Nothobranchius furzeri: one gene and its partner. The protein of the gene in region 2 purifies or fractionates together with the protein of the main gene of each other region. This does not show direct contact. Links are inferred from orthologs where the notes say so. Each region holds a gene or a part of one and is shown on either strand. Other genes may lie near its edges.

Region 1 (4,172 bases), on a different chromosome or scaffold from region 2:
ATGGAGCTTCTGATTTTATTCAACATGTAGCATTCATTTAAATGAAGCAGCACAAAAAATAAGAGCTTTTTAAAAGATAAAAGAAGAAAATGTGAACCCTCCTGGGTTCTGCAGGAGGAAATGGTTAGCAACGCGGCATCTGGGGTCCTTGTTACTAGGGAAAAGGCCACACCAAGCCTCTAATCCACTCCTACAGGCCTCCTTACCAATTAGAGATGTGTACAAGTTGGTGGACGACTTTAAGTCATTCTGATTAGCGATTGCGTGTACAAAGGAAGGACCTAAATGTAGTGGTGAAATCCTCTTCGCTCACAAATTAGAGTCAAATTGGGCCCCGTTCCTAATTCTCCTGACAGCTCAGACCAGTTTCAGAATGGGGTCGAGATATGGAGATGCCTTATGAGCAGCAAAGAATTAAAATAAATGATCTTCACCAAACCGCACAGGCGAATCTGCCATGTTTGTTTTCATGACGAAGACAGCTCATTAGAAATGTCTACACTGCAGTAACGTTAATAAAGCGATAAAAAAAGATCTTGTGCCTATCAGTGAAGACATGCTCCAAATGCAAATCTGGCTGGAGCCTTTAAGCAGAATGCGGATACCGTTGTGGCTTGGTACCCCTTTGGGTTAAGGTAACTGCATAATCTTTGCATGAAAATATATTAAAGAAATCAGAGCTACAAATCTAGAAATAATGAAGACCGATTCAGGTTCCAACCCTTCCAAGGGTCGCCTCTGGGCAAGCAAGCTTTCAGCCACCATGCAGCATGATTTACTCTCCTCCTCTCGTTCAGCCTTGCAAGTGACACCGTCTATGGATTTTGGGGGGTCATTCTAGCACAATGCCTCTAATTTAGCTCCCTAAAGGGAGGAGGAGGTGGTGGCTGTGGAGGAAGAACGGCACCAGAGGTCATCCATGACTGCAAGGCAGCAGAGTTCGCATGAGAGGTGGGGGGTTGGGTAGGGGTGCGGCTCCCCAAAGGCTGTCAGGGTCAAACCGATGCTATCATGTGACCTCTGGCAAGCTAGCAATCATAAATGATGCCAAAACTGTTAAATACAGGAGTCAACAATCCAACTGTTGTTTGAGATCAATAGTGCATTTTGAAAGGAGAGTCAGCTTAATGGGTTCAAACACCAAAAGGAAAAAAATAAATGATTAATCCTAACACAATACACTTGTGATTTTCTATTTTATTGCATAAAGGTCTTATCAACACAATCTTAGCACTGGTACATTTGGTGCTGGTACCATGATGGTCTGATTCAGTGTGTGTGGGTGGATCAAATGCAAGTTATTTATTAAGTGTACTTCTTTTATAGAGGGATTGTCAAATGTCTTAGAATTCAGTGTGGGTTGGCATTTTAGTGGAAAAGTATTATTCTTGTGAGTACTAACCGTTTCTGTTCATGAAAAAAGGGATCCGAGTCAGGCAATCACGTATAAATATGAAAAAAATATTCGTTCAGTCATCAATTTAAAATGACTACAAACAGAAGCAAAGAAACCAGAAAGCAAGCCAACATAGCCAGACTCGATCGGTTTATCTCATGCAAACATTCAAAGCCAGTAAAACATGCACTTCTTGTGCAGATGGCAGGTGTCGTGGAGCAGGTGTGTACTTGTAGCTTTCGTACAGTAAACGATCTTTAACACCTTAAAGCAATAAGGAAACGTTTCGCGTTTAATATTAAGTGGGCAGGTTTCGATCTTAAGCATGTCCCACGACCTGTCTGTCCATCTACTTCTGGTTAGACAGCAACGCCTCAAGTATTTAGAAAGCTAAGCTAGCTGTTAGCTCAGGTTAGCAAGCGGAGGCTAACTAATTAGCCCGAGGAAGGGCTCGCGACGCTGAAATCAAAAGACCATTTTTCGCTTCGGTTGTGTTTTATTGGTTTTACTAAAACGCCATTAGAGACAAAAGAAGTACTGGCATATAGTGTTTCGGGTTGCTTGACAGGTATTTCGTGTTACGTGGGTAAACGAAAGCCAGCTAACGTTACCTGTTTGGTGGGGTCATTTCTGCCGTGCTCAGAAGACAGGTGATGTCTCAGCAGCAAGGCCCGCTTGTAATTTCGGCTGCCCTTCACGAGCTCGTCGCTGTTTTTAGTGGCAATGTTGTGGCACCAAGAACAAGACATGAGTCCCGTCTCTTGGCTAAATTTGAGCCATGGAAATTCTTGCAGCCACGAAGCGTGGAATAGCGAGTGTTTCTGAAGCAGCGTCTGCGGTCTCATCTCTACCCCGGATTTCTTGGAGCCCGTCTCCCCACCCCTCGCTGCGCTCCGGGACTCCAGACCGTCTTCGTTGTTGTTGGTGTCGTTCCCCGCTGTCCAGCTACTGCCCTCCCTGGTCCCACGGAGCCCCTCAACGTCCCTAGCTGCCCAGCTGCCCCCTTCCGGGTCCTCTTCTTCCTCCGCCTCGGGTTCCGTGCTATCGCTGACAGATCCAGCGCCCTCCACTCTCTTCTGCGACGGTCCTTTCGCTCCCAGATCCCGGTCCTCCTCTTGATCCGACCGATTCCCGTTAAAATGTCGATCTTGACAGGCCGGGGCCTCCCAGCTGTTACAGTTCCCCCCGCCGATGCTGCTGGAACCCGTTAACCCAGCTAATCCACCTCCTCGGAAAGCCAACGACCTGCGGTTTCTCTCGCCAGACATTTTCCCCTTAATATACAAAACGTTACAATCTTCACTTTCTCGACAGTATCTCCCTTCCGACGATAAAATAATATATTTACAAACGATGGATTTGTTCGAAAGAGATGCACCGCCGTCGTTTCTGGTCTCGGCTCGAACCTCCCGGTGAGAGTATGTAGGTTATGCGGAAATAAATAAAGGTTTTAAACGCATAATGAATTTCAGGGTTCTCGCTGCGTCCGCGCAGGCCCCGCAGAGGTCGAATGGCAACGACTTTCCTCCCCACAATGCACCTCGACAGGAGAAGAGGGAGGGAGGGGAGTGGGGGCGGCTTTAAAGGAAGATGGGGGTGCTGTAGATGATTAAAGGGGGCTTTTGTGTTTCAAGGCTGGGCTGCACCCATTTTGCTTTCCTTTTTTAAATTTCCACCTTAAATAACCAGCGCCCCATTTTTACCTGTGTGCAAAATTAATTTGACAAAAGGACAAAAAGTAATAAATCTATTCCTACAGGAATGCATGCTGTCTTTGTATGTCAAATAAATCACAATCAATTATTTACAAAAATAAGAATGTCACAACTAAAATTAATGCATCCATTTACGTAATACTTTTACACAGAGACATCAAATTAAAAAACACCACCTTTACTGGTATAATACAATAAAAATGTACGACAATAAACTTAAAACATGAAGTATGTGCTAGGGTTCATCAACAATTTAACAATTTTAAAATCACAAATCTCTTACTTAACCCCAGTAAACCATCATCCTCTCTGAATCAATCAGATTTAAAAAAATATTGTTTAAGCGTATCTCTGCTCCATGTCTATTAAACATAGTTCCAGCAGGTGGCACTCTTTCATGGGAGTCTCAGTTGTTAATAAGTAATCCTTGATGAGTTTGAAAAGAGTTTGAAAAGTATTTTACACGCAGTGTGGGATCATGAGTGGGGTCTAAACCTGTGTTTACCCCAATGACAGGTCAATTCTCAAAATTGTGCTGTTGTGTGCAGCTTCTGGGTGTATTTATCAATATCAGTTTCTCAGTTATCAACAGTAAACAAATGTTCTACATATTAACACGGTGCATGTCATATTATTTTCCCAATTATGCGAAAAAGAACATTTTTTTTCTTATTTTTCAATTCTAAGTTAATTTTCACCAGGCTGGAAGATAGTTGGACTAACTAACCTAAAGTGCATCACATCAACATTTTACTTTTAGCAGATTAGAATAAGAGATCAGATTTAAAGTGTGCATGTTAGTAATTTTTGATATTCTTAGACTTGATTATTATCAGCATTTGCACCTGAGCTGGCATATGCTCATGGATTCTGAGGCATTCTTCTTTACTACATACTTGGCTAATTCGGCAATATTTCTGTTTTTGTAGGGTCAAACATCTAGCATGGGGTTGTTTCTGGTTTACAATAGATTATTAAAAACCATGAATAATATAATCTGCAGTTTTCATAATAATATATCTTAATAATTTCATCTATGCTGCTAGAAACAGTGAAATCAT
Region 2 (3,650 bases):
CGGTTCAGGGAGGTTCTGCTCAGACACGTGAAAAGAGAGTTACAGTAGTCTAAGCGTGAGGAGATGAAGGTGTGGAGAACTGTCTCAAGTTCAGAGCGGGACAGAATGGGACTCAGCTTAGCAAAGTTCCTGAGATGGAAGAAGGAAGAGCGAACAAGAGAGCTGACATGAGAATCCAGGGTGAGAGCCGGGTCAAAGGTCACGCCAAGATTCCTGACGGAAGGTTTGGTGTGAGAAGCAAGCTGACCAAGAGAGTCTCTGACTTTGAGAACCAGCTTGTCTGGGGCACTGATGATCTGTGCCCCCAGGACACAGTCAGCAGCGAGGACAGCCAGTTTGCTGTTAAATGAAATAGCCAATCGTCGTAGAGCCTTTCTAGCCAATCAGAGACGAGAAAGGCAGGATCTTCCTTGGACATCCTAGAAATCCAAATGACGCGTCCTGGACACAATATGAATGCACCGTTGTAAAGGAATGCTAATTTTACCTCAGACAGAGAAAAGATCGGCTTTATCTGACCCTGAACCTTTTTATCCCCTTCTGCTGCTAATGCAAGCAACAAGAGTTGAGGATACTTTTGTTTGGGATGCATCTGCAACTGATCAGATTTTAAAAGACCAAGTATTACATGATTTTCCAGAGAACAAGACCTTTAAAATGAAAAAAGTTACTTTCATTACATATTCCATCCTGCAAGAGCACCGCAGCTAACAGTTTATTCTCTTACAACAACCATTTGTTTGTTTTAGTCATTATCTTCTCTTAAAAGCTATTCAAGCATTTCCAAAGCCTGATATAGTCTTAACTCCCAAAAACAAACCCCTGCAGGAAAAATGAGAAAAGCAACATCTGTGGGTGCTCACATGACAAAGACACATCCCAAAAGAGAATTAACTATTGAATTTTGTAGAACGAAGAGGACAAAACGGGTAGATCAAAGTGAGAGGAAGGCTCGTCTTCATCTGTGACTGATTAGGACAGACAGACACAAGAATGTGGTGTAGGAAGAGGGGAGGAGAGAATCTCAGTAGGACACTTTCACTTCTGTCCCACGACTTTGCCATTCAAACAGCCCGTCTCACGGCTCAGCTCACTGAACCCAAACGACGCTCCCACAAACTTATATTTAAACCTTCTAGAAAAGCCTTTCTTGTGGTCTCTAATCTCTCTGATTTAGTGTGAAACCAGGTTCTCCAAGTACAAGACAGCTATAATAATAATAATAATGCATTGAACTTATAGAGCGCTTTTCTAGACACCCAAAGACGCTTTCACACACTCTCACATTCACACACTGATAGTGAAGGTAAGCTACTTGTAGCCACAGCCGCCCTGGGGAGGTCTGACAGAGGCGAGGCTGCCATTTGGCGCCGTCGGCCCCTCTGACCACCACTAACACAGGCAAGTTGGTTGAAGTGTCTTGCCCAAGGACACAACAGCAGGATACCCCTGGCGGGAGCTGGAATCGAACCCATGACCCTCCGATCATGAGGCAACCCGCTCTACCACCTGAGCTACTGCTGCTATACACCTCATATGTGACTCGGCCATTAGCCCTCATTTGGTGTCAAAATCTAAACGTTGAAGCATATTTTTAGATCTCAAAGCACCACGTTCATTTGGAGACTGCAATTTCAACCACTTCCCACAAAGCTATAAAATCAGCAATAAGGTGGAGAACCTGAAACTGTCTTCCAAGCTGTCAGAGAGCATAAGAGGCTTCCCCGTCATCATCACTTCTGGCAAGTTAATGGGAACTGTGGGCCAGGCAACTAGATTACCACTTTCCACGACGTAATTCCTGTATAAGCACAGCCCATTCCTCTCTGCCTTAATGATGGGAAGCTAAATAACTGCAACCCTCGCACATCTGAAATATCACCATCTGAAATCGATACGGCCCTGCTGAAATATTATCAGCAGCAATATTAATCTCTCACCTAGCCCTAATCGCTAATTTCCTTTACTATTTAGTTGATGAATGGGGTTTTAAAAAAGTGAGCTAATACTGACAATTTACACTGGGCCGATTCATCAAGGTCATGATTACTCACCGACTCCAAAGGAATATTAGCTGGGAAAAGATGGGAATGCATTAGTGAAACAAAGAGGATGGAGATAACGAGCGTTTGGAAAGAAGAAATCTGTCAGAGGGCCATGCTTTGTGAGGGAGGGGGATACTGTTCACATTTTGACGCACCATGATGCTAACTTAAACAAACTGTGTTTAAAATGTTTAAAATAAATCGTATTAATGGATTTAAAAACACAATATCAAGAATGGTAAAAAAGACTAACTGTGAAGAAGTGCAGCACCTGGACCTTAAGACACAACGTGTGTGCAGTAAGATGGAGAATGAGTCATGACTATAGAAGAGAGATGGCTGAGCAAGATGGGTGTTGTGTTAACAGAAACGGAGTTTGTCTGCCTTCTTACTAATAACATATCAGAAATGAATTAATTAGCTTTAAAAGTTCAAAGCAGTCACTCAAAGAGGAGATGTTGGGAGTAGAAAGGCATTCAATGATGAATCAGTTGGTCAGCTGTTTGGAAAAGAAAATGACATCTGGTGGTCAGTTAAGACACTTATTTTCTCTGTGTGTGTGTGTGTGTGTGTGTGTGTGTGTGTGTGTGTGTGTGTGTGTGTGTGTGTGTGTGTGTGTGTGTGTGTGTGTGTGTGTGTGTGTGTGTGTGTGTCTGTGCATGCGTGAGTGTGTGTAAAAATTTACAAATTAGCATACTTATCAATCCATATCTTGAATTGTGTCAAATTAATTTAACTTTTACACATTTCACATGTATTTTGGGGGATAAAAGAGAAAACACAAGTTTTTCTTACACTTTACTGTTAATTTAAACTGTAAACTTGTCAAAATATAAAATTATTAAAGAGAAACATTGCAACCTGAAGCTAATTTGTTTTTCCTTGTTTTGTTTTTTAATCAGTCTATGATCAGGTGCTTTTGTATTCGTTTTGAAGACTGAGAGTGAGAGCAAAAAAGAAAATGATTTGTCAATTATTTGACACATCTAAACCAGAGGTGGATAAAAATCTATTCTTTGATCAATTAACAACTGTGTGTAGTCGTGGCCTACAGATTTGGCTGCATTCGTTTTCTAATTATTCAATCACCAACATCACATTGCCCGACCAGCGTGCGCGTGCCTTTGTGTCTGTATGAAGAGAACTTATACAGGACAAGGAGAAAGCAGGGAGCAGACGGCTAGCTGACAAAGAAAAGGCAAACTGACCATTTTGTTTTCTTGCAAGTAGAGTTTCTGTAGTTTGGGACATCCTCCGGCCAAGGCCATCATGCCCTCATCTGTGATGCCGTAACACTGACCCAAGTGGACATCCCTCAGCTCGCTGCAGTTTGATCCAAGCTGATGACAAAAACATAAATAAATCATTCTAACATAATAAATACTCCAAATGTCTTTATACTTTATCTGTAAAAACTAAAAACAAGTAAAGCCAACAAGAAAAGTATTTGTTGGCGAAACACAAGTGGTTTTTTTTAAAACACACCTTCTTCAATGCTGCATCTGTGAGTTTGTCCTGGTTACCAACATGCACTTTGACCAGAAGAGGGCAGTGTGTAGCCAAAGCTATCACAGAGCTATCACCCAGCTGCTTGCAGCGGTAGGC

What was found. Proteins that work in one complex are often made in the same cells at the same time.
Region 1: the proteins of fbxl17 (region 2) and zbtb10 purify together in Homo sapiens (affinity purification with western blotting; 3 studies listed by BioGRID and IntAct, with this or other methods). This does not show direct contact. The link is inferred for Nothobranchius furzeri from reciprocal best matches to the Homo sapiens genes FBXL17 and ZBTB10.

Annotation. Positions count from the first base shown.
Region 1 is NC_091759.1:557,497-561,668, forward strand, and holds the start of zbtb10 (zinc finger and BTB domain-containing protein 10), read right to left. Parts: upstream 2,871-4,172; 5' UTR 2,665-2,870; coding exon 2,008-2,664; intron 1,619-2,007; coding exon of another isoform or gene 1,555-1,618; exon of another isoform or gene 1,540-1,554; intron 1-1,539. UniProt on the Homo sapiens protein: May be involved in transcriptional regulation.
Region 2 is NC_091757.1:53,109,627-53,113,276, forward strand, and holds part of fbxl17 (F-box/LRR-repeat protein 17), read right to left. Parts: coding exon 3,531-3,650; intron 3,386-3,530; coding exon 3,254-3,385; intron 1-3,253. UniProt on the Homo sapiens protein: Substrate-recognition component of the SCF(FBXL17) E3 ubiquitin ligase complex, a key component of a quality control pathway required to ensure functional dimerization of BTB domain-containing proteins (dimerization quality control, DQC).